Struthio camelus: one gene and its partners. The main gene of each other region encodes a partner of the protein of the gene in region 3 in a complex. Links are inferred from orthologs where the notes say so. Each region holds a gene or a part of one and is shown on either strand. Other genes may lie near its edges. The genes, in order: ZMPSTE24, BANF1 and LMNA.

Region 1 (10,125 bases), on a different chromosome or scaffold from region 3:
AGCTGAAATACCGGAACACATAAGCTAAGATGCTCGACTCAAAATCTGGTTTTGACAGCCGATTAGGAAGCACTATCATAGTCTGGGTTTGGTGGCTGAGCTGTAGGGGACAGCTAGATGAAGTAATTTCTTTAACTGTTCCATCAGCTTCCAAAATCATTGTGGATCTACTCTAGAGTAATAGGGATAGAACAGAAAGGAGAGATCATGAGACAAAACAAAGGCTATGCTTTTCCTACAAAGGCACAATAGTAAAGATGGATAAAGATAAGCACAGGCGCCACAGATAACATTTTTTGTTTAGCAGGCACTACATTCAATAGCAAAAGAGGCTCGTTCCAAGTATAGTATTTTCCTTCAAAACAAGGAGGGAGGCTGTTCAGGCTAGTGCTCTTGAAATCAAGATAAACCTTCAGAACTTTTTGACTTCTGGCACCTCCTAGGTAGCATCATTCCACCCTGTCCACTAACCCACTGCTGTAGGACAGTGTAATTTCTCCAATGAAATACTGACTCCAGAGTCAGTCAAAAACATGGAGTCTTTCCAAATTTCACACAGAAATTGTCTACAGTTCTACTCAGTTCTACTGAGTATACCAAAAAGCCCAACAATGATAATACAAAAGTTGTAATGACAGGTGTCAGTACATGTTTATAAGTACACGTAATATGTACTTAGAAACGAAATGCAATAAAACGCAACATACAGGTTAGGACGCACAAAACCCATAGATCAGAAAATGCAAGAATTAAGACAGGTCACAATTCCTAAGTACTGCTTTTCTGTCATATAATTACATGACTTACACTATTTTAATATTTTCATTGTCTTTTAAAATTGACCTTTTTGCTGTCTTAAGGACATCACTGCAATAACATACTATACTCAGTAATTATATTTTTACAGTGCCAGGCATTTCAAGATTCCTTTTTCACCTAGTCGTGCTACTGATGAACAATATACTTCAGCAATAAGTCAGAAAAGGTTTCTCTTAAGACTATTTGTATATGGCACATATAAATACTTGTTCTAAGCTATGGTTCTATTTTTTCTTATATAGAAATTTTACTGCAGAGTATAACTGTTCTTACACTCAAGAAACATCTTTTGATACTTTTCCTGTTCTCACAGGTTTTCCTTTCTACCTTCTAGTTAAATGTCACCTAAAAAGAAAGAAGCTGCATCCCTTCAAACACAGAAAAAGTCTGTATTTCTAACCACTTAAAATAATTATAATGCTGCTTAATTATTTAGCAGTGGAAACGATAAAAGGTCAGCTGTGCCACTAATTTATAAAAATGTAATATACATTATAGCTGCACAGTGTGACACGACACTGCATTTCACTATTACTTCCATTTTATTGTGCATTTTTGGAGTATTTGACATGGTCTCACATTAGTATGTAGTACAATAAAATGCTTATAAAGAAGAATTTGCAGAATTTGCAGAACCTACTTAAGAAACAACACATAGTCCATCAGTGTCACTACATTTCATTTCACACATTTTCATTACGTTTCATTACATACCACAGAATCACAGAGTAGTTGCGATTCGAAGGAACCTCGTGGAGATCATCTAGTCCAACCCCCCTGCTCAAGCAGGGTCACCTAGAGCACGCTGCCCAGGACCACGTCCAGGCAGCTTTTGAATATTTCCAGAGAAGGATATTGCACAACCTCTCTGGGCAACCTGTCCCAGTGCTCAGTCACCCTCACAGTAAATAAGTTTTTCCTTCTGTTCAGACAGAACTTCCTCCATTTCAGTTTGTGCCTCTCGTCCTGTCACTGGATACCACTGAGAAGAGTCTGGCCCCATCCTCTTGGGCTTTCCTCAGATATTTAAACACACTGATAAGGTCCCCCCCGCAGCCTTCTCTTCCCCAGACTAAACAGCCCCAGCTCCCTCAGCTTTTCCTTACTCGAGAGATGCTCCAGTCCCTTCACCATCTTTGTAGCCCTTCGCTGGACTCGGCTCCAGGAGCTCCGTGCCTCTCTTGTACTGGGGAGCCCAGAACTGGACACAGTACTCCAGGTGGGGCCTCACCAGGGCTGAGGAGAGGGGCAGGATCACCTCCCTCCACCTGCTGGCAATGGTCTTCCGAATGCAGGCTGGGATCCCATTGGCCTTCTTGGCCACAAGGGCACATTGCTGGCTCAGGGTCAACTTGTTGTCCCCCAGGACTCCCAGATCCTTCTCTGCAGGGCTGCTTTCCAGCACATCACCCCGCAGCCTGTACTGGTGCCTGGAGTTATTCCTCTCCAGGGACAGGACCGTGCACTTCCCTTTATTGAACTTCGTGAGGTTACATATGCTTATTGCACATATCAACTTCAACTTTGGTCAGCTGTGGGAGTCAACTTTTCATATATCTTGTTTTCAAGATATTTTAAAATAAGACTAGCGATTATCAGTGTATTCATGCAGGCTGGGAACAGAGCAGAAAAGCAACAAATCCAGAAAGTAAGGGTTCCAAATCTTCCATTTGGACACGAGCACGCTATCTGAATAAAACTTTCTTTTATACGGCAAATACAGGCACAGACAAGAAATACAGAATCCTAAGCCTACCACATTACAGTGTTTGATGTAGTATGCCACAATGCTGGCAGTGCAGCTGCATAGGATCATTAAAAATCAAAAACTGAGTATTTCACAGGTGAACTGTATGAAAAATATAATATGAATACTGTAGCAGCTCATGTACTTACAGTGCCCTCAACCTCTGAATACAGCCCTGACCAAAAGCTGAAAGTGCTCTTGTCCAGCTGATATAGACGAGATTTTTCAAACGTTTCTGAATCCATGATCTGTCCTAATTCACATGGTACATGTGTTGTTGTTCTATACACCCGTCTCTGAAAAATAAGAAAAGAAACTTAGAAGTCCACATCCAATATTTTTAAGGGGAGAAATATGATTAACAAGTAACACATAACATGGACCCATGGGCCCCCACAGAAAGTTACAAAGTAACACACAACAAGTAAATAAATGTTTCTAAATTCTTTGCTTCTATGAAATTGCAAATATAAAACTGAAACAAGATTATTATGTTACAACCAGAAACTGAGTTGCTTACTTATTAATTTCTTTCTAATAAAAGAAGTTATTATATAAAGAGCACAGAAATTAGTTTTTTTCCCACAGGAGATAACTTACTGTGCTATGATTATGACTAAGTCAAGTTCCAGACTAAAGATCATATCCTCCCTTGTGAAGCATGAAACTTCACAGGAAAAAATATATTTATAATTTAGCTGCATAAATGAGGGGTTATTTCATTTTCAGTTGGAGAACTTCTCACCACTTTCTAATTTTAAAAGTTTAAAAGTCATTATTCCATTCACTGCCCTATCTTGTTTCAGTATTTTTATCTGTTCTTATCTTTATCCTTTCTTCTCTTCCTGAAGCTCCTACCCGCTCTGTCACCTCAAAATCCCTTTACTGGAATGGAGCATCTTGCTATGCTTCATCTCTACCAACCAACCAAGTGAAAAAGTGGACTTCTTTACAAGGAGCCTTCTCAAAAAGCCTGTGTTAAAAGCCTTCCTTGCATTTGCAGGTGCTTATCTAGCCCCAATAGCTGATGCTGCCCATAGTAATACCGGGTTGCAGCCTCACAGGGAGCTTAGCTGATCTAATTGCTCACTGCTGCCAAGGATAGGCAACACTGCTTCTTCCTCTCCTGGCAGTGTGACCCCCCCCAGCACTGTCACATCCTTCTGTGAACCCACTTAACTTGCTGAGGTGACAGCAAGTATCCCCATCATCCTGCAAAAACAAGGAGAGGATAATGTCTTCTTTCATATGAGCAAGTCAAGTCAGTTCACAAAGGACTCTGACACAGTCCAGAGCTAGGGCAGGTGCGACCATGACATCCGGCAGTGAGAGAGACAGGACTGCGCTACTGCAGATTTTATCAGCTCGCCGCCCCTGAATCCCCCCACCCTGGGGCTTCGTGATGGTCAGCCCAACGAGCGTACTGAATGATCTTTGCCCCGCACCGTGCCTGCACGATTCTTGTAATTTATACGTGAAAGTCAAATTTCACCTAGCAGACTGAAGGCAAGCAGGGGCTGACAGAACGCCCCCCAGTCCCACCCTGGCTTAGTCCGAGCCAGCGCTGCCTGCGCCAACTGTCCTGACTGGGGCAGAGCCGGGCGCTCCGCGGAGAGGCGCCAGCGCGGAGCCGGCCCCGGCCCCGGCCCCGGCCCCGGCCCCGGCCCGCCTTGGCCGCGCGGCTCCTCTCGCGGCCTCCGCCCCGCCGCCCCTCGCCGCCAGCCACGTGAGGGCGAGCCGCGGGCCCGCCCCAGCACGGCGCCCGGCGTGGCGGCTCCTCTGCCCCGCCAGGAAACCCCTTCCCCCGCTGCCGCCGACCTGCCGGTGCGCCAGAAAGGCCTCCCAGAGGTAGACGGCCCAGGAGAAGAGCAGCACGGAGCAGAAGATGCGCTTCTCGGCCGGCAGCTCGGCCCACAGCTCGCCGGACAGCGCCATGACCGGCCCGGCCAGGCCGCCTCTCCCGCGCTTCCTCCTTCCGCTGCGCGCGCTGCGGCGCCGCCTCGCGCCCGGAGGAGCTGGCGGCCGGCGGAGGCCGCGGCCGCGGCCGGGGGGAGGCTGTTTGCGCTCCGCGCTCAGCGGCAGCGAGCCCCTCTGACTGGGGGGCGGCGGCTGCGGCGCGACTCCGGGGACAGGCAGGGGCGAGGGCCCGCGGCGTGTCCGGGCCGCGGCGGCATGGCCGAGGGCAGGTCGGGCCCGCAGCGGCGGCGGCGGCCTCCTCACAGCGGCGCCAGGGCGAGCGGGGCTGGGGGGCGGGGAGGGAGGGCAAGGGCTGAGGAGAGAAAAGGAACAGAGAAGGCGCAGAGCTGGGGTAATTCACGCTCCCCCGTAGAAGGACAGCGCCGGAGCACCCTGTCAACCTGCTCCCCCTCAGGCATAGCTGTCCAGCGCCTCTGCCTTGCAACCAGGGCTCCTGCTCAGCCATAGGCTGGCCCGGGGGGCACCTCGCTCTGCCACCCTTTTTCCTTTGCCCTGGTTGTTTCTCAGAGGATAACAGGATGGTTTCCTTCGGGGGAAGCAGGTGGGGAGGTGGGTCATGGAGCAGGGGTGCAAGGAGGCAGCCAGTGATAAGCGGTGGTTGCAGCTGCCTTCCCAGAGGACTGGTAGAACTGTGTGGGGTATGTGTGGGGCTCATCAACTCAGGGAAGCAGCAGAGATACAAGGTGGCACCCCACGTACCAAGAAAGCAGGGTGACACAAGCCCACCACATCAGGTGCCTTGTCCTGGTCAGAACCCCTCAGGACCACGCCAATGGATGTACCTGTCATCTGCATTTGGAAACAGGAGCAGTGTAAGAAGAGGTTTGGCAAGCAAGTTCCCCTTGATAGTCTTGGGAAGAGCTCATTTTTCCAAGGAGCTTTCAAGTAGCCTGGTAGCAGTGGAGAGCTGGTAGTAGGATTGGGAGTCAGCAGCAGCACACAAGGTGGGGCACACAGCAGCATGTTTCAGTCTGCTGATGCTCAGGTGCAAAGATGCAGGGACTGAGCTGTGGATGCAGAGCAAACCATGGTTTCTATGCTCTCCAAAATGAGTCTCAAGCCCCACACAGAAACCCAACTGCAGCCCTGATCACAAGAAATTCTGGAGGCTGGCCAAGGCTGAAGGGGGTAGAGCAAAGAACATTAAAGTAGTACCAGAGCATGGACAAGACCAGCCAGCTGATGGTCAGTGATCCGTCCCAAAGGGAAAGGCCCTTCAAAAGTCCTGCCCAGCTTTGCAACCATTCTAGCACCCCAGTTTAACTCAGCAAAAAGGGATCAGTGGCAGAGAGGTATATATGCAGAGAGAGCAGCATGTCTGGGCCTGACTTCAACTGTGAAGCACAGCTCTTGATCCAGGTTGGAGGTAGCCACTGAGAAGGTTTCTTGGTGGGCCTCCGTGTGCAGCAGGTCTCGTGGGTCCTGAATCACAGAGAGAACATTGCCAGCGTACACCATCAGAATGCCTCTTGGTCCAGCTCTTGGAGCACCAACCCTGTCATCTTCCTCTAGAAGTGGTAGAGGAGTGGCTTGAGAGTGATGGAGTAGAGTTGGCTGGGCAAGGACAAGCTTAACACACCCTCCCAAGTGAAGCTTAGCAGCTAGGTCTGTACCCAGCTGAGCTTGCCCAAGCACTCTGCAGCAGTATACAGTGTCTGTAGGAACCCCAAAGAGTGGAGGTCAAAGCTACACACCCACAGTTTCCCCATGGGGTAGCTTTGATCCCTCCCAGTCAGGCACCTTCGAAACAAAGCAAAGAACAGAGTGACCCTACGTCCTGGGTGAAGCAACCCTCGACGAGATACAAGCTGTCCAAGATGCTCCAACCTCAGACCATCTAGGTCCGGTCAGGAGGGATCATGTTGCCTAGCATGGGTGCTAGTCACTGTGAGACAGCCTTCACAGTGATATTGTACTCTGTGCTGAGGAGCAACATTGGGTACCAGTCCTGTGGGGTGCAGAAATCCCCCTTCTTGGCACCAGTGATGCTCTATAAAGTGTAGTAAAATTCCATGTTAGTCCATTAATGTCTGGAGTGTTAGAAGGCATCTGAGGAAATCTGAGCTCTGCCATAGTGAGAGGGAGTTATACCTGTGGTGATCATTGGGGGCCTATTCCCACAGGCCTGGCAAGCGCTGGAATTGGTGGACTGAAGAGAGATGTCCACAAAAAATGCCTACTCGTTGTTTGCAATCTCCTCCAAAACCCTCAACATAGGTTAACCAGACCACAAGAAAAGCAACCACCAATTGGTGGAACCACACTTCTTCTAGGCCTGGTATCAGGGCATAGACATTAATCAGGTTAACAAGCAAGTCCTTCACACAGTCCTAAAGATGCAGCAGGTGATCTGGCACAACCTTGGCAACCCAAAGGACCATGGTGACCATCCTGCAGGAGCATGGCAGAATATCCTCCCTCCTGAAAGGAGGATTCCCCAAGGCTCCAGAGAAAACTCACCCTACAGTTTAGCAATGCTTATTCTGAGGTGTTTCTGAGGACTTCAGGGGCAGTGCTGCCACTTGTACCAGCAGGGGCATGGAGTGACTTGTACTCATTGCAGATGAGGAGAGGTATATAGTAGCTGTACGTTTTCTTCTTTACCTAGTTTTGCTCCTCCTGCAAATGTACAAATATGAAAACACTCAGTGTTTCTGGGTTTTATTATGACACATGCACATCTCTCCCAGTGAAATTGATATGACGCTCTATCCATTGTATTGCTGGCTTCAAATTCAGATCCGTTGGAATCACAACATATTTTTCCTGATGCTCTGTTTACCCAGCATGAATCTGAAATCCCACCCTGTCTCCCAAATGCTTTTTAGCTGGGTCCATCTGATAACACGCACACACACACGCACAAATTCTGCCACTCTTTCCTGTTTGGTAGTTCCTGCTGCTGCTACTCAGAAATCCTTATCTGTGGATAAGGATTATCTGCTACTCAGAAATCCTTATCCTTACATCTGCCATTCTTCCCAGTATCACATAACATGGGCTTACATGCTAGAGCTGAATCACCTTTCCCGAACAGGATAACCCTCTTTTTTTTTATTAATTCTCCCTCTTGCCTCCATGTTCAGTAGGAAAATCAAGAATTTCAGCAGAAGACCTTAGGTAAGCAAGGAGTTTCTTAGTGTTTCTTAGTGACCTAAGGAAGCATAGGAAGTAAAAGGAAGCATACAGGAAGTCAAACAAGGACAGGCAATAAAGGAGGTATTTAAAAACATTACTCAGGCATGTAGGGACAAAATCAGGATGGCCTAACACCAGCTGGAGCTAAAATCAATTAGGGACATTAGATGTAACAATAAAGGATTCTACTAGTATGCTAACTGCAAAAGGAAGTTTTGGGAAAACGTGGGTGTGTTGATCCATGAGGGATGATGATATGGAAAAGGCTGAAGTGCTCAGTATCTTGTTTTCTATCAGTTTTCACAAAGCCTGCTCCCTGATCTCTGCATCTACTGGCAGTTTGGGAAGGAAAGGGGCATCTGACAGTGGGGGAATAACAGGTTAGAGACTGTGCAGAGAAGCTGAATGTGTTCAGCTCCATGGGGCCAGATGGGAGTAAGCTGAGGGTGCTGAAAAAACCCAGCCCCTATCACTGTGAGGCCACAGTCTACCATACATGAAAAACGGTGGGGAGTGATCCTTGATGATTTGAAAAAGACAAATCTTTGGGTTAGACCCATCTTTGAAAAAGGCAAGAAAAACTTTGGCTGGAAAGTTCATAGCATCCTTTTGGAATCCATTTCTGAGCATGTGAAGGACAAGAAGGTAATCAGAAACAGCACAGACTTAATAAGCGCAAAACATACTTAACCAAGCTGATTACCTTCTGTGATGAAATGACTGGGCTATATGCACAGGGAGAGAGCAGTGAATATAATATACCTTGACTTTAATCTCCTATAGCATTCCCAGCCATATAGCTGGGTGAACAGTCCATAAGATATGTTGAAATTGTCTGGAGCACATGGCTTAAAGGATAGCGAGCAATAGCTTGACATCCAGCTGGCAGCCAGTAATGAGCAGAGTACCTCAGAGGTTGATACTGTGATAATTCATAGGATAACTCAGAGTGGAAGGGACCTCAGGAGGTCTCTAGTCCAAGCTCCTGCTTAGAGCTTTATCCAGTCTGGTCTCAAAAACCTCCAAGGATGGAACATCTTCATCAGTGACCTGGGTGATGACACCAAACGTGCCTTCAGCAAATGTGCAGGCAACACTAAACCAAATGGAGTGGCTGAAGTGGTAAATGACAGAACTTCAGTCTAGAGGGTCCTTGACAAACTTGAGATTTGGGCCAACAGAAACCTCATGGAGGGTCAATAATAGGAAATGTGCACAGTTCTTCACCTGAGGCAGAATGACTCCATGCACCGGTCCACGCTGACCAGGCTGTTGGAAAAGACCTGAAGCATCATGTTAGATGCCAGGTTGAATACAAGTCAACAATACACTCTGGTCTTGATTAAGGCTAACTACATCCTAGAGGGAGTGCAGCCAGTAGATTGAGACGATTTTATCCCCTTCTACCTAGTCCTGGGGATGGCACATGTTCTGGGTCCAGTTTTGGGCTCCCTTTCAAGAAGGATGGGGTCCAGTGAAAAGCTACAAAGACAGTACCTTTTGCTGAGTGTTCTCTCTGCAACATTCTGGGTATTGATGAACATGTCAAACAATACAGGCTCCTTTTTCATCCCCTGACGTACTCTGCTTGTTACTGTCTGCCAATTGCTCACTACTTTTTTGAGCACATGTTCTACAAGGAGAGGCTGAGGGAGCTGAGCTTGTTTTGTCTGGTAAAGAAAAGGCTAAGGAGCAAGCTCATAGCTACCTGCAACTATTTGAAAGGTAACTACAAGATGGTGAAGCCAAGCTTCTTGGTAACACCCAATGATGTAAGAAGGGGCCAGTGGCATGGGAGGCTCAGCCTGGGACAGGTCAGTAGGGAAGCGTGCGTAGAATCTCCATCCTTTGAAGTTTTCAAGATGTGCCTAGACAAAGCCATAGGTGCTCTAGTGTTGACAGTAGTTCTGCTCTGAGTGGGAGGTTGGACTAGAGCCTCTGCTGTTTCTATCCACACCCTTCGGCCCCTCCCTTATGCAACTTATGGTGCTCTTCTGACTCAACTTGGTAACTGGGCAGAAAGCTACTGACCATTTTGTCAGAGAGCAGAGAAAGAAACTTTCCTTTTCAAGAGCCTTCAGTGGCTAGATTGACTCCAGCCACATCACAGGACATCTGCTGGAAAGCCCTTGTCAATACCAAATCTATCACATGACTGTCACCTCTTTACCCCCTTGCTCTGTACCAGAGCTGTTCTCTGTTAAGTGTTTCTCCTTGCCTCAGAATAAACTCCTGACTTTCACACAGCTCCTTCGCTGTGATTTTAATATAGAGCCTGAAGAAAGATCCTATACTATTGGATACAATTCTCACTACTGAAATCAGCCACCTCCATCCAGTCCTTTCACAAGCTCGCAGAGATCTATTTCCTCACTGCTCCTACAGAAAAGCTGTCCCAGAACTGCTCTGTTCTAATAATTTGCAACTTGTTTCTGATTTCCAGT
Region 2 (9,580 bases), on a different chromosome or scaffold from region 3:
CCAACACCCCCCCCCCGTTAATACTCACACTAATACTCTGTTCATGCTGCAGTGACGTTACCCTGTTACTACCCCGTCGTTACTCCCCTGTAACCACCCCGTTACCGCCTGTGTTAACGGAGGGCGGCGTTGACGGGGTGGTTACGGCGGTAGCGACGGGGTATTAACGCAGAGTAACGCTAACAGTGTCAGCAGGGTGTTAACGCAGGCTAGCGCGAAGGGGGGGTATTAACACCCGTTGTTACTCCCGTGTTAGTACCCCGTTAACGCCCCCACTGGTGTTGCCGTGTGTTAATGCCCCGTTGTTGCCCCCGTTAACACCCGCTTCACGTTACCCCACGTCAGCGCCGCGTTATTACCCCCGTTAGCGCCACGCTGTTACTGCCCCCGTTAACGTTACCCCGGGGTAATACCCCATTAATCCCCCCCCATTAATACCCCATTAATACCCCCCCCCCCCCATTAATACCCCACTCACCCTGGCTGGGGGCTCTGTTCGTCCCGGGGGGTGAAGGCCTCAGGCCTGGGGGGGGGGGGAGACAAAGGGATTAGGGGGGTCCCGAGGGGGGTTGGGGTGTCCTGGGGGGGCTTCTGGGGTGACTTTGGAGGTTCTCGGGGTCCCCAGGAGGATTCTGGGCCTCCCCAGGCTGATTTCGGGGGTTCCCCCTGAGCAGGGTTGGGGGGGTTCCCAAGGGAATTTGGGGGTCCTGGAGGGGGGGGTGTTGGGGAGGGGTCCCTGAGAGGTTTTGGGGATCCCTAAGGAAGGTTTGGGGGGTCCTGGGCAGGGCTTGGGGGGTCCCAGGGGCTTGAGGGGTTCCCAAGGGATTTTGGGGGTCCTGGAGGAGGAGGTGTTGGGGAGGGGACCCTGAGAGGTTTTGGGGATGCCTAAGGAAGGTTTGGGGGGTCCTGGGCAGGGCTTGGGGGGTCCCAGGGGTTTGGGGGGTCCTGGGCAGGGGTTGGGGGGTTCCAGGGGGTTTGAGGGGTTCCCAAGGGATTTTGGGGGTCCTGGGGGGGGTGTTGGGGAGGGGACCCTGAGAGGTTTTGGGGATGCCTAAGGAAGGTTTGGGGGGTCCTGGGCAGGGCTTGGGGGGTCCCAGGGGTTTGGGGGGTCCTGGGCAGGGGTTGGGGGGTCCCAGGGGGTTTGAGGGGTTCCCAAGGGATTTTGGGGGTCCTGGGGGGGGTGTTGGGGAGGGGACCCTGAGAGGTTTTGGGGATGCCTAAGGAAGGTTTGGGGGGTCCTGGGCAGGGCTTGGGGGGGTCCCAGGGGCTTGAGGGGTTCCCAAGGGATTTTGGGGGTCCTGGAGGGGGGGGGTGTTGGGGAGGGGACCCTGAGAGGTTTTGGGGATCCCTAAGGAAGGTTTGGGGGGTCCTGGGCAGGGCTTGGGGGGTCCCAGGGGGTTTGAGGGGTTCCCAAGGGATTTTGGGGGTCCTGGAGGGGGGGGGTGTGGGGAGGGGTCCCTGAGAGGTTTTGGGGATCCCTAAGGAAGGTTTGGGGGGTCCTGGGCAGGGCTTGGGGGGGTCCTAGCAGGTCTGGGAGATTCCCAAGGGATTTTAGAAGTCCCGGGGGGGGTTAGGGGGTGACTGAGAAGTTTTGGGGGGTCCCCAGGGGGGTTGGGGGTCCTGGGGGGGGTTAGGGGGTGACTGAGAAGTTTTGGGGGGTCCCCAGGGGGGTTGGGGGTCCCGGGGGGGGGGGCAGGTACCAGAGCCCCTGGCGCTGCAGGAAGCGGACGTGGTCGCGGAAGAGGACGAGGCGCATCTCGGCCTTCACCTTCTCGCCCTCCTCGATGGGGTCCACCAGCAGGAAGTCACCTGCGGGGGGGGGGGGGCAAGAGGGGACACGTTGGGGACACGCCGGGGCCGCGAGGGGAGGCGTTGGGGGGACACGTCGGGACCACGCTGGGGTGGCGTGACCAGGACAGCATCCCTTGGGGACGCGCCGCGGTGACAAAGCCAGGAGGTGACACACTGGGGACGCGTCGGGGACGTATCGGGGGGGGGCACGGCAGGAGCAGATACGTTGGGGACGCGTTGGAGACAGAGGAGCGCAAGGTGACCCGCGGCGGGTGACGGAGCCAGGAGGGGACACCTTGGGGACACGCCGGGGCCACCCGGGGCGGGAGGTGACACGGCGGGGACGCAGCGGCGGAGGCGCGCGGGCGCGAAGGGCCGCGTTGAGCTGCGCGGGCGCGAAGGGACCGGGCCGGGGAGCGCGTAGGGGGCCGGGTGGCTGCGAGGGGACGCGTTGGGGACGCGTCGGGGACGCGTTGGGGACCTCTCTTGATCCAGATGTGGCGGCGGAACTTGGGCGGCATGCTGACGAGGAAGCGGGCGCCCTCGGCCGTCTCCACCTCGTGCAGGTTGTTCCCCGGCGTCCCCAGCACCTGGGGAGGGGGGGGGGGACACGTCGGGGACCGCAGCGTCCCCCAGACCCCCTCCGTGTCCCCTGGGTGGCCCCTTGTCCCTCCTGTGCCCCCTCCTCCATGTCCCTGGGTGTCCCCAGGTGGTCTTTCCCCACCACCACCAAATGTCCCTGTGTCCCCATGTCCCCCCTGGGTGTCCCCGTCCCTCCTGGGTCCCTGGGTTCCCCCCCCCAGGTGTCCCTGTCCCCATGTCTCTCCGTGCCCCCCATGTCCCCCCCGGGTCCCCCCTGACTCTCCTGGGTCCCTGTGTCCCCCCCCCAGGTGTCCCTGGGGTGCCCCCCCCATGTTCCCTCTGGGTCCCCCTGACTCTCCTGGGTCCCTGTGTCCCCCCCCAAGGTGTCCTTGTCCCCATGTCTCTCTGTGCCCCCCCCGGGTCCCCCTGACTCTCCTGGGTCCCTGTGTCCCCCCCCCCAGGTGTCCCTGTCCCCATGTCTCTCCGTGCCCCCCATGTCCCCCCCGGGTCCCCCCTGACTCTCCTGGGTCCCTGTGTCCCCCCCCCCCAGGTGTCCCTGGGGTGCCCCCCCCATGTTCCCTCTGGGTCCCCCTGACTCTCCTGGGTCCCTGTGTCCCCCCCCCAAGGTGTCCTTGTCCCCATGTCTCTCCGTGCCCCCCATGCCCCCCCCGGGTCCCCCTGACTCTCCTGGGTCCCTGTGTCCCCCCCCCCCCCAAGGTGTCCCTGTCCCCATGTCTCTCTGTGCCCCCCCATGTCCCCCCTGGGTCCCCCCTGACTCTCCTGGGTCCCTGTGTCCCCCCCCCCAAGGTGTCCCTGTCCCCATGTCTCTCCGTGCCCCCCATGTCCCCCCTGGGTCCCCCCTGACTCTCCTGGGTCCCTGTGTCCCCCCCCCCAGGTGTCCCTGGGGTGCCCCCCCACGTCCCCCCTGGGTCCCCCTGACTCTCCTGGGTCCCTGTGTCCCCCCGCCCAAGGTGTCCCTGTCCCCATGTCTCTCTGTGCCCCCCCATGTCCCCCCTGGGTCCCCCTGACTCTCCTGGGTCCCTGTGTCCCCCCCCCAGGTGTCCCTGGGGTGCCCCCCCACGTCCCCCCTGGGTCCCCCTGACTCTCCTGGGTCCCTGTGTCCCCCCGCCCAAGGTGTCCCTGTCCCCATGTCTCTCTGTGCCCCCCCATGTCCCCCCTGGGTCCCCCTGACTCTCCTGGGTCCCTGTGTCCCCCCCCCAACCCCCACCCACGGTGTCCCTGCCCCCAGGTGCCCCCCCCCAAGTGTCCCCATGTCCTTTTTGTTGCTCTACCACATCCCTGGGTCCTCTTGTGTCCCCAAGTCCCCTAATATCCCCGGGTCCCCTCGTGTCCCCCCCCCCAGGTGCCCCCATTCCCCCCCCCAGGTCCCCTCATGTCCCCTCTCAAGACCCCCCCCCGTCTCCCCATCTCCCGTGTGTCCCCGCTGCGTGTCCCCACCCCCCCGTGTCCCTGTGTCCCCTTGTGTTCTCCTGCGTGTCCCCCATGCCGTGTCCCCCCATGTCCCCCCGGGTCCCCCCACCGTGTCCCTGTGTCCTGCCATGTCCCCTTGTGTGCTCCTCTGTGTCCCCAACACCCCCAGGTCCCCCTGGCCCCCCCCGGGTGTCCCCACCCCAGGTCCCCCCAGGTGTCCCCATCCTCCCCGTGTCCCCATGTCCCTGGGTCCCCTCGTGTCCCCCCCCCCCGGGTCCCCCCATGTCCTCACCCCGTGTCCTGCCGTGGCCCCAGGTCCCCCCGTGTCCCCTCCCGTGTCCCTTCGTGTCCTCATCCTCCCATATCCTGCCGTGTCCCCCCCCGTCCCGCCTTGTCCGTCCCCATGTCCTCACCCCCCCCCATGTCCCGCCCTGTCCCCCCAGGTCCCCTGGTGTCCTCACCCCCCGGGTCCCCCCGTCCCCCCCCGTGTCCCCCTATGTCCCACCGTGTCCCCCCCAGGTCCCCTCGTGTCCCTCCGGTGTCCCCACCCCCCCGGGTCCCCTGGTGTCCCCCCATGTCCTCACCCCCCCCCCGTGTCCCCCCATGTCCTCACCCCCCCCGTGTCCCCCCGGGTCCCCCCGGGTCCCCCTATGTCCCACCGTGTCCCCCCCCGTGTCCTCATCCCCCTGTGTCCCCCCAGGTCCCCCTATGTCGCCCTGGGTCCCCCCGTGTCCTCACCCCCCGGGTCCCCCTATGTCCCCCCGGGTCCCCGTGTCCCCCCCCGTGTCCTCACCCCCCCGGGTCTCCCTATGTCCCCCCGGGTCCCCCCGGGTCCCCGTGTCCCCCCCCGTGTCCTCACCCCCCGGGTCCCCCTATGTCCCCCCGGGTCCCCCCGGATCCCCGTGTCCCTCCCCGTGTCCCCACCCCCCCGGGTCCCCCCGGGTCCCCCCCCCCCCCGCTCACCCGCACGATGCGCTGTCGCGGCGACGGCACCACCCGCTCGTCCAGCACCTCCCGCGCCACGTGCTTCCGCTTGGTGGCCTGCGACATGCCGGACGCCTGGGCCCGCCGGGACGCCTGGGTCCCTCCTCTGTCCCCCTCCCCCGCCCCAGTAGCGGCGGGGGGGCCCAGGCGTCCGGGCTGCCCCCCTCCCGCCGCGCCCCGCCGCTTCCCACCTCTCACCGCATGGGAGTCCGCCACTTCCGGGTGCACCGCCCTCTGGCGTCACTTCCGGAGACACCGGCTCCTCCCCCCCGGTCCTCCTCTCTATGGTGGTTTCTGACAGGCCGCTGCGTCTCGCCGCGGGAACCTCCCGCGGGCTAGAGCGGCGCCGCGCACCACAGAGTCGCGGCGCCGTCGCCCTAGAGCGCCCGCGGCGACCGCGTTGCTAGGCAGCCGCCGCCTCTCTATGGTCGCTTCCGGGCGCGCCTAGAGCGGTCGCCGGCGGCGGGTGCACTTCCGGCGTGGCCGGAAGTGACGGCAGCGCGCAGGCGCGCGCAGCGGCCAGTTGGGCGGGAGCGGCGGTTGACAGCGGCGGGCGGCGCCGGTGAGGGCGGGGGGGGGTCCGGAGGCTCCCTGGGGGGGGTCTTTAGGGCTTGGGAGGTGCGTGTGGGGAGCTGGGGAGGGCTCTGGGGCTGTAGGGGGCTCTGGAGGGTCCTTGGAGGGGTCTATGGGGCTGAGGGAGCTTAGGGGGTCTTTGGGGGGGGTCTATGGGGTTGAGGGGGCTCTGGGGGTCCTTAGGGGGGGTCTATGGGGCTGTAGGGGGCTCTGGGGGGTCCTTAGGGGGGTCTAATGGGGCTGAGGGAGCTCTGAGGGGTCCTTGGGGGGATCTATGGGGCTGAGAGAGCTCTGGGAGGTCCTTGGGGTGGTCTATGGGGGTTGAGGGGGCTCTGGGGTGTTCTTAGGGGGTCTATGGGGCTTTGGGGGGTTCTGGGGGGTGCTTAGGGAGGGTCTATGGGGCTGGAGGAGGCTCTGGAGGGTCCTTAGGGGGATCTATGGGGCTGGAGGGGGACCTGGGGGGTGCTTAGGGGGTTCTATGGGGTTGAGGGGGCTCTGGGGGTGCTTAGGGGGGTCTATGGGGCTGGAGGGGGCTCTGGAGGGTCCTTAGGGGGATCTATGGGGCTGGAGGGGGACCTGGGGGGTGCTTAGGGGGTTCTATGGGGCTGAGGGGGCTCTGGGGGTGCTTAGGGGGGTCTATGGGGCTGGAGGGGGCTCTGGAGGGTCCTTAGGGGGATCTATGGGGCTGGAGGGGGACCTGGGGGGTGCTTAGGGGGGTTCTATGGGGTTGAGGGGGCTCTGGGGGATTCTTGGGGGGGTCTATGGGGTTGAGGGGGCTCTGGGGGTGCTTAGGGGGGTTCTATGGGGTTGAGGGGGCTCTGGGGGTGCTTAGGGGGGTCTATGGGGCTGGAGGGGGCTCTGGAGGGTCCTTAGGGGGGTCTATGGGGCTTTGGGGGGCTCTGGGGGGTGCCTAGGGAGGTCTGGGGGGCTGTAGGGGGCTCTGGAGGGTCCTTGGGGGGGTGTGGGGCTATAGGGGGCTCTGGAGGGTCCTTGAGGGGGTCTATGGGGCTGAGGAATCTCTGAGTGGTCTTTTGGGGGGGGTCAATGGGGCTAGAGGAGGCTCTGGGCGGTGCTTAGGGGGGTCTGTGGGGCTGAGGGGGCTCTGGGGTGTCTTTAGGGGGTCAATGGGGCTGGAAGGGGCTCTGGGGGGTCCTTAGGGGGATCTATGGGGTTGAGGGGGCTCTGGGGGGTTCTTGGGGGGGTCTATGAGGCTGGAGGGGGTTCTCGGGGGTCTTTGGGGGGGTCTGTGGGGGTCTATGGTGATTGCGGAAGCCTATGGGGCTGTGGGGGACTTCTTGGGGGCGGTCTGTGGGGCTGGAGGGGTTGTAGGGCAGTTTTTGGGGTGTCTATGGGTCCGGGGGGGCTCTGGGGGTCTTTGGGGGGTCTCTGGGGCTTGAGGGGGCTCTTGGGGGGGTCCCATGGGTTTCGGGGGGCTCCCAGGGAGTCTCGGGGGGGGCTGTTTGTGCCCCCCCCCCGGGGCCCCTGCTGCAGCTGCGCTGGGGTATTTATAGCCGGGGGAGGGGCGGGATCGCCTGGGCCCCTGCTGGGGGGGGGGAGGGTCAGGATCGCCTGGGCCCCTGCACGGGGTGGGGGGGGGGGAGAGGGGACAACGCTGCCTCCTCCAGCCCCGGGGGCACCTTTGTCCCCCCCCCCGGGGCTGCCGCTGTCCCCACATTGTCCCCCCCCCCCCCCCCGAGCTGCCCGGTCCCTGTCACCATCCGCGTCCCCGCGTCACCCCCCCCCCCCCGCGGTCTGTCCCCGTCGCTCCTGGGGGCCGTCCCATCCCCCCCCCCCCGTCCCCAACGCGGTGGCACCGTCTGTGTCCCCCCCCCCGCCGGCAGGGCGAGCCGAGATGTCCTCGACGTCGCAGAAGCACCGGGACTTCGTGGCGGAGCCCATGGGCGAGAAGCCGGTGGGGACGCTGGCCGGCATCGGGGACGTGCTGGGCAAGAAGCTGGAGGAGAAGGGCTTCGACAAGGTGGGGACACCCTGGGGACACCGCGGGGACACCCTGGGGACACCACGGGGACCGTGGGGGGTGGCTGTGGGGTTGGGGACACCGCTGGGGACGCTGGCCGGCATCGGGGACGTGCTGGGCAAGAAGCTGGAGGAGAAGGGCTTCGACAAGGTGGGGACACCGCGGGGACACCCTGGGGACACCACGGGGACCGTGGGGGGCGGCTGTGGGGTTGGGGACACCGCTGGGGACGCTGGCCGGCATCGGGGACGTGCTGGGCAAGAAGCTGGAGGAGAAGGGCTTCGACAAGGTGGGGACACCGCGGGGACACCCTGGGGACACCACGGGGACCGTGGGGGGTGGCTGTGGGGTTGGGGACACCGCTGGGGACGCTGGCCGGCATCGGGGACGTGCTGGGCAAGAAGCTGGAGGAGAAGGGCTTCGACAAGGTGGGGACACCGCGGGGACGCCCTGGGGACACCGCGGGGACACCCTGGGGACACCACGGGGACCGTGGGGGGCGGCTGTGGGGTTGGGGACACCGCTGGGGACGCTGGCCGGCATCGGGGACGTGCTGGGCAAGAAGCTGGAGGAGAAGGGCTTCGACAAGGTGGGGACACCGCGGGGACACCCTGGGGACACCACGGGGACCGTGGGGGGTGGCTGTGGGGTTGGGGACACCGCTGGGGACGCTGGCCGGCATCGGGGACGTGCTGGGCAAGAAGCTGGAGGAGAAGGGCTTCGACAAGGTGGGGACACCCTGGGGACACCGCGGGGACACCCTGGGGACACCACGGGGACCGTGGGGGGCGGCTGTGGGGTTGGGGACACCGCTGGGGACGCTGGCCGGCATCGGGGACGTGCTGGGCAAGAAGTTGGAGGAGAAGGACTTCAACAAGGTGGGGACACCGCGGGGCCACCCTGGGGACACCACGGGGACGCCCTTGGGGCCACTGTGGGGACGCAGAGGTGGGGACACCGCAGGGCCACCCTGGGGTCACCCTCGGGGCCACTGCGAGGACATCGGGGACATTGCAGAGACGTGGGGGGGGGTGAGGTTGGGGACACCAGTGGGGGACGTTGGCTGCTATTGGGGACGCGCGAGGCGCGGAGGGGTGTCCTGAGCGTCAGAGGGTCCCCAGGGTGTCCCTGGGGGCTGTCAGGGTGTCCCCAAGATGTCTTTGGGGTGTCAGGGTGTCCCTGGGGGGGGCGTCGGGGTGTTCCCAGGGGGTGTCGGGGTGTCCCTAGCGTGTCAGGGTGTCCCCAGGGGGTGTTGAGGTGTCCCTAGCATGTCAGGGTGTCCCCAGGCGGTGTCCCCAGGGGGTGTCGGGGTGTCCCTAGCGTGTTGGGGTGTCCCCAGGGGGTGTCAAAGTGTTCCTAGCGTGCCGGGGTGTCCCCAGGGTGTCCCCAGGGGGTGTCGAAGTGTCCCTAGCATGCCGGGGTGTCCCCAGGGGGTGTCGGGGTGTCCCCAGGGGGTGTTTAAGTGTCCCTAGCATGCCGGGGTGTCCCCAGGGGGTGTCGGGGTGTCCCCAGGGGTGTCAGGGTGTCCCCAGGGTGTCCCCAGGGGGTGTCAGGGTGTCCCCAGGGGGTGTCAAGGTGTCCCTAGCATGCCGGGGTGTCCCCAGGGGGTGTCGGGGTGTCCCCAGGGGGTGTCAAAGTGTCCCTAGCATGTCGGGGTGTCCCCAGGAGGTGTCGGGGTGTCCCCAGGGGGTGTCGGGGTGTCCCCAAGGGGTGTCAAGGTGTCCCTAGCACGCCGGGGTGTCCCCAGGGGGTGTCCCCAGGGTGTCCCCAAGAGGCAGGGTGCCCCCCGCCCGTGACGCCTGTCCCCCCCCCGCCAGGCCTACGTGGTGCTGGGCCAGTTCCTGGTGCTCAAGAAGGACGAGGAGCTTTTCCGCGAGTGGCTCAAGGACACGTGCGGCGCCAACGCCAAGCAGTCGCGCGACTGCTCGGGCTGCCTGCGCGAGTGGTGCGACGCCTTCCTCTGAGCCCCCCCAAGCCCCCCGAAACCTCCCCCCTGCTGCCCCCCCCACCCCGGGGCTCCCCCCCAAACCTCCCCCCCGGGGCCCCCGAACCTCCTCCCAGGTGCCCGCAGATCTCCCCGAAAGCCACTCTGGGAGTCTCGCTGTCCCTCTCCGGAGCAGACGGGATGCCCCAAAACGTTATTGGGGACCCCAGAAGTCTCTTGGGGTCCCCAAAAGTCTCCTGGGGACCCCAAAAGCCTCCTGGGGGTCCCCAAGATCCACCTGGGGGTCCCCAAACCCT
Region 3 (9,975 bases):
GCCCGAGCCGCGTTGCAAAAGTGGCGCCGCGTGCTGGTTGGGACACGCGGGTCGGCGGCTCTGCCCCAAAACCCCAGGGCTCTGGCTGTGCCCCGGCTTGCAAAAGCCAGCTGGGTAGCATCACGCCAGGGAGCGAATCCGCTCCCCCCGACCCTCAGCTCCCCGCCAGGGACGGCTCAGGGGCTGCGTCCCTTCCCCGGATGGGGAAACTGAGGCACGGAGGCTCCAGCCTGCAGAGGCGGCGGCAGCGCCGGCGGCAGGAAGGAAGGGGCAGCGAGCGGCATCATCGCCGGAGCCGCGCCGGGGACAGAGCATCGCCAAGCTGCTGTTCAACGAAACCCCAACGCCGGGGCAGCGCCGGGGCCCGGCGCGCCCTCGTTTTGCAGCGCCGACGCCTCTAACGCGGCAGCCCTGGACGTTAAGCAGGGTAAAGTGCAGGCTGTCGGGCGCCCGCCGCTGCTGTTAGCGGACTTTGGCCTCGCCGCTATCGCGCTTCTGGGCTCTGAACAGCTCCCGCCGCCGCAGCCCCGGCGGCCTGAGCCGCGGCACCGCGGCCCGACGGAGCCGGCGCAGGTGGGCGCCCGGCCCCGAGGCTGCACGTGATGGGCGTCGGGGTGGGGGGGGGAGGGGTCCAGCAACGAGAGGTGCAAACGGGGTGGGAAAAGCGTTTCTTGCAGGGACGGCCCCGTCCCGGCTGCTCCCCGCAGCACCCCGAGGCTTGGCGGCGGGATGCCGCCGTCCTCGCCAACGGGCGTCGAGGGAGCGCCTCCGAGCCACGGGGCTTTTCCCGCCGGGAAGGGCGAGCGTGCACCCACCGCCTCGGCGAGCTGCATACCGGCGACGGCGAGGGGAAATAAATCCGTCCTGGCTGCCGGATGCTCCAGGGCCGTGGGGGTAAAGGGGGTCCGCGAGGCGTCGGGCACCGCGGGGTCCCGGCCCAGCCCGGCGTCGCCCGCCGCCTTGCACAATCCGCTCTTTGTTCGCTCTCAAAGGGCGGATCCTTCCCCCAGCCAAACTGTTTTTCCCCCCCACCCTCCCCCGGGGAAAAATTTCCATGGGACCGGAGCGGGGACGCATCGGGAGGTGGAGGGACCATCCGGCTGGTTGAAGGTTTCCCCCCCTCCCGTGCAAAACGCCGCAGCGGAGCAAAATCCACCCGTGCGGGAATGAGATCTGGGCCCTGGGGAGGAAGAGGCGATGCCAAGCCGCCGGCTTAATCGGGTTAGGGGCTGCAGTTCAGGAAGCCGTCGCTCATCAGACGAGCTGCTAACTGGAGCCTGGTTCCTGTTTCGGCCGAGCCAGCCGGGAACGACCCCTCGCCGGCCCCGGCGGGATGCTCCGGGGGTCCCTTTGGGGCAAAACACACCAGGAGGGGGGCCGGGGGCAGAGCCGGAGCCTGCTCCGTGCACGGAGCGGCTCTTGCACCGGCACGCTGCCGTGCAGCCCGTCCCGCCGCCGTCACCGCCATGCAGCCGGCGCCCCTCTGGCCCCGGCGGGCGGGTGCCGTGCCGGCCGCGAGCCCCCCGCCCTGCCTCCTGCACCGCCGAGACAACCGGCGGCCCCGCGGCGGGCGCAGCGCTGCCGGCCGCTGATAACGCCCGGCCGGAGCCGCCTGCCGCCCGGGAGATACCCGGCGCGCTTCCGCCCGGGGTCGAGGCGTTGCAGGGGAGGTGGGGAGGGGGGGAAAAACGCGGCGGCCGGGATGTTTTTGCAAGTTATTTATGAGCTGGGCGAGGTGTTAGCGCCCGGCGCTGACCCAGGGCTTCGGGAGAGCCGGCAGGACCGGTAGGGCCCAGCCCGGCCGGATGGGAGAGGCGAGAGCGGCGCCCGGCCCCCTCCGCCGACGCCACCAGCGCCGGGCTGCGCCCGCAGCTCCCCTCCCTGTTTACCGACGCGCGTTCGACGGCCGAAAGGGTTCGGGCAACGGCGCCGAGCCGCGGCGGCCCGTTCGCGCCCCTCTGCCCCGGCCGAGCCCCCCTTCCTGCGCGATCGAAGGGGCGTCCGCCGGCCTTAGGGGACAACCGCGACGCGGGAGCGGGGAAAAGCCGTACGGTTTTTGCAAACGGCTCTGCTGTGCAAGGCCGGGCGCATATATATATATATATCTATCTTTTCCCCCCACCCCAGCCAGCGCGCAGCTCTCGAAAGATCCCGGCCGAGATAACTCGGCGTTTGCGTAAACCAGGCGTTGCCCGTCGCCTCGCCAGCTGCGGGAGGCGAGCCGGAGCGCGGCGCGGCCGGGATGCCGGCGGCGAGCCGAGCAGCGCCGCGGGCACGAGCCGGGGCGAGGGAAAACACAAAGCTAAATATAAAACGCCGCACGGTTTTGCAGAGACAGCTGCACAGGGCCGCGCAGTCGCTCGCTTCCCAGTAGGTAGGATTATTTATGGCGTGTTCCGAGCGAGTTAATTTTAGCCTCGTTAGTCCCTCGGACGGGGACTCAAAACGAGACAGCCAGCGTTCAGCTCGAGCCGGGAGGAAGAGGGGGAGACGCGCCCGCAGGTTTCTCGCCGCCGTTCCCCCGGGGGCATCGACGGACGGGCTGGCCGAGCCCCGCGCGGGCGCCCAGGCCGGGTACCGGGGAAGGGCAGGGGCGCCCGGCGGCGGGAGGGAAGGGACGCGGGCGCTGCCCGAGCATCTCCGCGGCGGTGGCAGTGGGGGGGGACCGGTCCGGCGCGGGCAGGGTTAAGGCGAGCAAAAGCAGAGCAGGTTCTTTAACAGCTGCCAAAGACAGCGGAGGAAAACAGGACGAGCCGGAGAGCTGCGTCGGCAGGACGGAGCCAGCTGGCTGGCACCGCTTCCCGGTTCGCGCCGGGCGGCGTTTAGGAATAGACGACGGATTCGGAGGGGCCGGAGCCCGGGGCTCGCGCCCCACGTCGCCCGGTCCCCGACCGAGGAGCTGAGGACGCCGCCGACCGGCTCTGCTTCCCCCCCCCGCCCGCCTCCCCCTCCAAGGGCACCCGGGCGAACATGGCGCCAGGGACGGGAGCCGGGAACGCCGGGAGAGCCGCCCCCGCCGCGGGCGCTCCTGCCCCGGCCGGGCCGCGGCTTTCCCCTTTCCCTGCCTCCTCCGCGCCGCTCCTTCCTCCCTCCCGGCTCCCGCGTCCTCGCCGCCTGCCAAGCGTGACGACAGCGGTCGTCCGGGCAGAGGCGGCGGTGGCATCGTCCCCCTCCGTCCCCGCTCCGGCACTCACCGAGCTTTCAGCTCCTTGTGCTCCTCCCGCACTTTGCTCAGCTCCAGCTGCAGCCGGGCTCTCTCCTTGGCCACCGAATCCAAGGTCTTGCGGGCGTCCGCCAGCTCCGACTCGTAGGCGGCCTTGATGCCCGAGACCTCGCGGCTCACCACCTCCTCGGACTCGGTGATGCGGAGCCGCAGGCCGGCGTTCTCCAGCTCCAGCGAGCGCACCTTGTCGATGTAGACGGCCAGGCGGTCGTTGAGCTCCTGCAGGTCCTCCTTCTCCTGCAGGCGGGTGATGCGGGTGGGCGACAGTGGCGTCCCCGCCGCCCCGCTGCGGGTGCTCCTCTTCTGCGAAGGCGTCGCCATGGCGGGGAGGGCGGGAGGGGGGGGGGGGAAACCCGGCGTCGAGGACACGGCACGCGTCCCAAGCGTCTCGGCTGCTCCGGGCTGCCCGAGTGACTTGCTTATATCCCAGCTGGGCTGCGCACTGCCAGGCGGAGCCGCGGCGAGGAGGAGGAGGAGGAGGAGGAGGGTGGAGTTATCGGCCAGCGGGGAGGAGATAGCCCCGCTTGCGTCAAGCGCCAGGGCCCCTTCCTTGGGAAAAGGCTGGGAAAGCATCCCTGGGAAAAGCGGGCCTGGGGACAGCCGGCCTCGGCCGCGGGGTGGGGGACGCTGCCGCCGCCACCGCTGCCCCACAGCGAGCTGGGTGCCAGCTCCCCCCCCCCGGCACCCAGAGCACCAGGGCACGGCAGACACAGAGCCCTGGGGCCCCAAAGCCAGCACCCCGGGGTCCCCCACGCTGCTGCAGCACCCCCAGACCTCCAAAGAGGGGGCTCAGTGCTCCCCCAGTTTCCCCAGCTCCTCCAGTCCCAGCACCAGCTTTGCCTGGTCCTCACGGTTCCTGCAGTCCTCAGCACTAGCTGCGCCCAGCTCCCAGTTGCCCCAGTTCTCCCCAGTACCAGCTGTGCCCAGTTTCTCAATTGCCCCCAGTCCCTGAGCCAGCTGCACCCAGTTTCCAGTTCCCCCAATTTCCAACACCAGCTGTGCCCAGTTGCCCCAGTTCTCCCAGTTCCCAGTGCCAGCCATTCCCCACTCCCCCAATTCCCAATCCCAGCCATTCCCCGTTCCCCCAGTTCCCGGGGCCAGCCGTCCCCCCACGTTTCTCCAGTTCCCAGCGCTGGTGATCCCAGTCGCCCCAGTTCTCCCAGTTCCCAGTCCCAGCCATTCCCCGTCCCCCCAGTTCCCGGGGCCAGCTTGGATGGGGACGGGGATGGGGACGGGGAGCCGGGCGGCGGGCGCCCGCCGCTCCCCCGGCGCGGTGCAAGGCGCTGCAGCGTGGCGCCCGCGGGGCGCAGCCCGGGCTCCCGTTGCAACGCAGCTGAACTGCCTCTAACGGGAGGGAAGCAAAGGCGCCGGCAGGCCGGGAATGACTCACGCAGCAACCGGAGCAACACACACACAAACACACACGCGCACGCACGCACACGCACACGCGTGCGCGCGCCGGCGGTGATTAATCCCCCGCCACCCCGCTCCTTGCACGGCAACGATGAGTCACGGCTGCCGGGGAGGAACGGCAGCCGGGGCGGGCGAGCGGGACGGCGAAAATCCAGCGGCCGGCTTTCAAAAAATCAGCAGCCCCGAGGCCGGCGAGGAAGGCGCCCGGGCGGAGGGCTGGCAGCGGGGCCTCGCCGTACCCCTTCCCCGTTCCCGCTCGCTGCGCGTCGGGCCGGCGAAGACCCCCGCGGAGCGGGGCGCGCGGTGCCGGGCCGGCGATGCCGTCCGCTGCCCGGCGCCGCAGCTGCCTCCCCGCTCCGGGGGCGCCTGCCCCGCTCGCTCCCTCCTCTTCCTCGCTGCATCGTGCGAGCTTTTCCCTCCCTCCCGCTGGTGCTTTTCCCTTCTCCGCCCTCGTTCTGCCTCGGCGCTCGTGCCCGGCTGCTTTTCCTCATCCCTTTCCCGGATCCGCCGGGTTGCCCGTCCGTCCCCGAGGGCCGATGCTCGCCGCCGCCGAAGGCGGGGTCTGGCCGCCGGCTCCGGCGCGCCGCCGCGGCCGAGCCAGCGCGCGGGGCACTGTGGGACGCCAACGGCCTCCTCCGCTCCGCAGCTTTGTTTTGTTTTGTTTTAAAGGAGAAAAAAAAAAAAAAAAGAAAAAGAAAAACCACGCCGGGCAGGAAGGGACAGCAGAAAAGCACTTTGCACCCTCCGCCGGCGGCGTGCATCGGCCGGCCGGGGGGGGTTAAAGCAGCCGTGCTTTAACACGGCAAAGCGCGTTTGGGAGCAAGGGACCGGCTTGAGCAATAGCTTAAAAATCACAGCTAAAGGTCACTGGCGCAGCCGGTCCCGGCAGCCCCCGGCGCAGGACCCCGCGGGCTGAGCACCCCCAGCAGCCACCGGCTCCGGCTGCTTCCCAGATGGCAGAGAGGCGTTTTTGTCATTTACGCAAGGCAGGAGGGGGGTTTAATTGGAACCAGCTGAGACGGGCGAAGCGGGGAGGACGGGCTGGGCCGGGCTCGGCCGCGCGCCTCCCTCCCCGGCTGGGGCACGGCGCAGGTCGGGGCGCAGCCCGGCGCTTGGGCCCCTCCAACGTGAATTCCTGCGGTTTGCACGAGCGAGCGCTCGGGGAGCGAAAGGCCGGGCTCCGTGGGCTTGCCGGCGCAGAGCGCGGGGGACCGGCGAGGGGCGACGGAGGGACGGGGAGGCTGCGCCCTTCGCGGAGACGCTCCCGTATCCTGCCCGGCCAGCTCCCGCGGTGACTCAGAAAGCAGAAAGCAGTCACATCCCTGGAATTTCAACCTCCTTTCAGCTTCCAAAGCTCTTTGGCCTGCAAAAAGCCCGGAAACGTCGGGTGCCTGCAAACGCCACAATGCAAACATACATGTGCACACGTGGCCAGCGATGAAGCGCGGCTGCTCCGAGGGCTGGGGGGCAGCGAGGGGAGCGGCGGGGACGGAGAGCGCGTCCGGGACAGGCGCTGCCGAGGGACGAGCCCTGCGGACGTCCCGCCACAGCCGCCCTCGCAGCCCAACCTTTCTCCTCCTCTCTCTCTCTCTCTCTCCGGTTTTGCTTCTTCCCGAGGATCCTGGGGTTTCATTTCCCAGGTTTTTACGCAGCCTGGGATCGTCTCCCGCTCTCGCAGGCCCGGAGCAACGCCGGACGGAGGCACCGTGATCCCACGGAGATGCCTTCCCGCTGTTGGGTGCTCCCCTGGCTCCTGGCCCCAGCCGGGGCGTTTCTCCAGCTGTTCCCTTTCCAAAGCAGGCACACCCTATCTCCAACACGGGGATTTTCCCTTTCCAACCCTCTCTGCTGCGCCGTTAACCCTACCTCCCCCAGGAGGGCAACATCCCGGCCCCCGAGCTTGCTCCCACGCGACGCCAGGGAGCGGAGAGCCGGCGGGCCGGCCATCCGCAGCAGGGCACGAAGCAGCGCGGTCCCGCCGCCCAAGGACGGAGGGCGCCGCGGTGGCAGACGCGTCCCCCGGCCGCCGTCCCGACCTGCCGCGTGGCACCCAGCGCCGGGCTGACCCGCGAGGCCCCGGCCGCTGGGGGCTTCCCCTCCTTCCCACCCACAGCCCACCCGCGTAAGGGGGTTTGTGCGTGCGCATAGAGGAGTTTTAATTAGCTAATAATCTTTAATAGGGTTTAATTGCCTTGTTATAAAAGGTAATTGCAGCAATACATCAATTAGAGCTGTAAAATTAATAGATTTACCAGTTGTATTTATTGAGAGAGCTGAAACTTGCAGCAAGCAGGAGCCAGGGCAGGGCCAACGATGCGCTCGGATGCGCCAGCAGGAAGGAGAGCCGCGAAGGGCGACGCGGAGCCATCCAGGAGGACTTCTGCCCGGGAACGGCGGGACACCCCGCGAGCGGCCCCGCGACGGGCCGCTGGGCGGTTAGAGCGGAGCCCACGGAGAGCCGGACGCGCCGGACAGGGCTGCGGAGCTGCAGACTGGGGCCCGCGGGGGTTCACGTCCGCCCGGGACGGCGGAGCGCGTCGCCTCCGAGCTCCCGGGACGCGAACGGCGGCGCTTGCTCAGGCTGGGGCAGACGCGCGCCCCGCAGCGACAGCCAAGGGGACGCCTGCGTCCCCCGGCAAGCCCCGTGCCTCGCTTTCGGGAGCACGAACGAACCCTGTCTGGGTGGCGGATGCGCTCTGGAGTAGCAAAAGCAATCCTAAAGTGCAAGCTCTGAAGCCCCCTTTGGCCGGGCTATAGCCGGGGGAGGCAGGGAGCACCCAGGGGTGCAGGGACTCGGGGCGCAGCAGAGAGGAGCACCCAGAGCACCAGGCAGGGCCGAAGGTGCCCCGGGCTTTCCTGCCCGCTCCACGCTCGCCGAACCCCGGAGCGCTGGTGCGGCGACGGGGCTGCCGAGCCGCGAGGATGCGGCCGCTCCAGGCAGCCCAGCGGGAAAAGCATCTGGCTGCTGGGCTGCCCTTCCCCGCCGCGGGCAGGGGTCGAAAGGAAAAGCGGCTCCAGCATCGCGCGGGCGCGTTGGGGATCGGGGCGGCGGAGGGGACCCCGGGCCCTCCTGCCCCCTCCCAGCGTTGCATCCTCTGCCCGCAGCCGCCGAGGGTCACTCCCGCGCGCGGGATCAGGCAGTTCGGCGTGCAGTCAGTAGCCCGAGCTACGCCCATGTGCACGTGCACCCTAAATACCCTGTTTCACTGCAACCGGTGAGTTTCTGAGTGCAAAATCCTGAGCGAGCCACGTTTTCTCCTCCCTGCCACCCCCCCAGCGCTGCTGGAGCCGGAGCGGGGGGGGGGGGGGGGGGTCGCGCTCGCATTTTAACGGACGTTTTTCCCTCTCTGGCTGCCCCGAGCGGGGAGCTCGGCGCAGGCAGGGAGAGCGCACACAATGAGCTGGCGCCAGCCCAGGCCGGCGTGGGGCAAAGGACGGCGGCGCGCGCGCACGCGCCGGCCCCCGGGACGTGCCCCGCGAAATGCCAGCTTGGGAGCGCCGCCGGGCTCCCCTTGGGCCGGCCGCCTCGCCGCAGCCTGGCTCTGCCCCGGCTCGGGGGGAGGCTGGAAGGAGTTCACATCCCTTGGCGCTCCCTTGCCCGGACACCTGGGGCAAACTAGGGGAACTTTAGGACTGCTCTAAATTAAACGTTTCTCGGCGCAGCGGGGAGCGGGGGGTCTCCCGCGTCGGGTGCTCCCCGGAGGCAGCAGCTCCCGGGGCCAGAGCACAGCTGGGAGGACCAGAGGCTTTGCAAGAAGAGAAGAGCTGCTAGCATGGATTTCGTTGCTCTGGTGGTATAAAAAGGCCTGGAAAACCACGTTCCTTACGATACGCCCCAGCAGGCTTGGGGCAGGGACGGGCTGGCTGCAAAGCAGGCTCTGGGCGTCGACGCCCCGGCGCTGGGGTGTCGCGGTCGGCGGCTCCCCGCGCGCTTCTCCTCCTTCTCGAGCTCCTGCAAGCCCGGACTTGAGCCGGGATGGCTCGCCGCCGCCGCCCAGCCCCAGGTAGCCCGCGGCGAGCGACGGATCCTGCGGCGGCCGCGCAGCCCAGGCCGCGGCTCGCGGAGGTTTCCCGCGGCACGCAAAACGCCGGAGCCTCCGGAGCGGCGGCCGGCCCTCGGGCGAGCGCCGCGGGCAGGATGCGGAGCTGCCAGCTCTCGTCCCCGGCCAGAGAAATCCCCGGCTGAGTCACCAGGGCGGCAGCTCATCGGCTTCCTTGCGGGGCAATGGAGGTGCCGAAGGGGATGTTTGTGCAGGACGGAGCTGGAGAAGATCCAGGACGTTCACGGTGCTCGGCCTCCCCCAGCGCCGTGCCAGGACGTGCGAAGGCCTGCAGGAAACATGGATAAAAGCCGTTGCGTCTCCAGGGCTCGCCAGCCTCGCTGCTGAGCCGGGAGCCTCCCCGGGGATCCTCGCCGGCTCCAACGCGCCGCATCCGTGGTGCTCCCAGCACCTTTTCCTTCGCGCCCGAGGAAGCCCGGAGGCGGGTGAAGACAGAATGGGCGACGGGGCCGTTTCTGCTGGGCGCCGGCTTAACTCCTGCGGTAAACCAGCAACGTGCTCGGGAAGGTCTCCGTCGCTCGGGGCTTTCGGGATCCCACGAGACAAATACCTCTGGGGACAGTTTCAGGATGAACTAATCCTGTCTCTAAAGACTCCTCTCCAGGGACTCTTCTAGCTCATCTTCTCTCCTACCGTTATATTTCACGTCGCCTGCACCTTAGCATCTTTGCTCTCGCTGCAGCGATTAAAACACCTGAGCCGGGCCGCCCTGCGAGGGAAAGCGGCCTCAGGGCATCGCTCGCTCGGTCCCGGGGCCGCGGCGCTCCCCGCGCTGTTCCCCTGGCCGGGTGCCACCGTCTCATAGCCGGGAACAGCTCCTTCCGGCGCTTCGTGGCCGTTCCCCGGAGCAGCCAGGGAAGGGGACCCGTCGCCAGATGCCGGCCCGCTCGGCCGAGAAAGCCCTGCGGGGGGGGACGGGGGGGGGTTTCCCGCGCTCCATCACCCAGCGCTGCCGCCCAGCCGCGCTGCCGGGGCGGGAGAGCGCAGGGGTGTGGGCTGGCTGCCTTTCCCATTTAGCACGCTTGCAAAAAAAAAGGGCCTAAAAATAGCGCCCAGCGGAAGCGCCGGGATAGTCCCGCCGACTAAAGGAGAAAAAGAAAGGGGCTCAGCCGCGGGAAGGAGGGGGGCAGCCCGCCGCGCGAAGCGGTGGCAAGCGGCGCGTAGAGGGCGGCGAGGTTGGGGCGCGGGGTTTCAGCCCTGTTCTTAGCTGGGTTGCGCCGAAAGAAAAGCTCGCCTGGCCCCCGCCAGAGCTAGAGCAGCCCCAAGGCTGCTCTGGGC

Evidence for each region.
Region 1: the proteins of LMNA (region 3) and ZMPSTE24 are in contact, whole or in part, in a crystal structure (PDB 2YPT), measured with the Homo sapiens proteins. The link is inferred for Struthio camelus from reciprocal best matches to the Homo sapiens genes LMNA and ZMPSTE24. Residues at the interface, in NP_001393912.1 of Homo sapiens: Cys661, Ser662, Ile663, Met664; in NP_005848.2 of Homo sapiens: Ser264, Asn265, Ala266, Tyr267, Phe268, Val332, His335, His339, Glu415, Leu438, Asn439, Asn442, His459, Arg465.
Region 2: the proteins of LMNA (region 3) and BANF1 are in contact, whole or in part, in a crystal structure (PDB 6GHD), measured with the Homo sapiens proteins. The link is inferred for Struthio camelus from reciprocal best matches to the Homo sapiens genes LMNA and BANF1. Residues at the interface, in NP_001393912.1 of Homo sapiens: Ser431, Gln432, His433, Ala434, Arg435, Met540, Lys542; in NP_001137457.1 of Homo sapiens: Val11, Ala12, Glu13, Pro14, Glu83, Asp86, Ala87, Phe88.

What each region holds. Positions count from the first base shown.
Region 1 is NC_090964.1:2,378,997-2,389,121, reverse strand, and holds the start of ZMPSTE24 (CAAX prenyl protease 1 homolog), read right to left. Parts: upstream 4,569-10,125; 5' UTR 4,502-4,568; coding exon 4,385-4,501; intron 2,863-4,384; coding exon 2,716-2,862; intron 1-2,715. UniProt on the Homo sapiens protein: Transmembrane metalloprotease whose catalytic activity is critical for processing lamin A/LMNA on the inner nuclear membrane and clearing clogged translocons on the endoplasmic reticulum.
Region 2 is NC_090976.1:753,674-763,253, forward strand, and holds the start of BANF1 (barrier-to-autointegration factor), read left to right. Parts: upstream 1-5,066; 5' UTR 5,067-5,350; intron 5,351-7,202; 5' UTR 7,203-7,213; coding exon 7,214-7,339; intron 7,340-9,156; coding exon 9,157-9,303; 3' UTR 9,304-9,580. Other genes in the region: probable RNA-binding protein EIF1AD, read right to left, coding at 479-523, 1,701-1,809, 2,273-2,381, 4,768-4,854. UniProt on the Homo sapiens protein: Non-specific DNA-binding protein that plays key roles in mitotic nuclear reassembly, chromatin organization, DNA damage response, gene expression and intrinsic immunity against foreign DNA.
Region 3 is NC_090971.1:3,832,075-3,842,049, reverse strand, and holds the start of LMNA (lamin), read right to left. Parts: upstream 3,916-9,975; 5' UTR 3,797-3,915; coding exon 3,195-3,796; intron 1-3,194.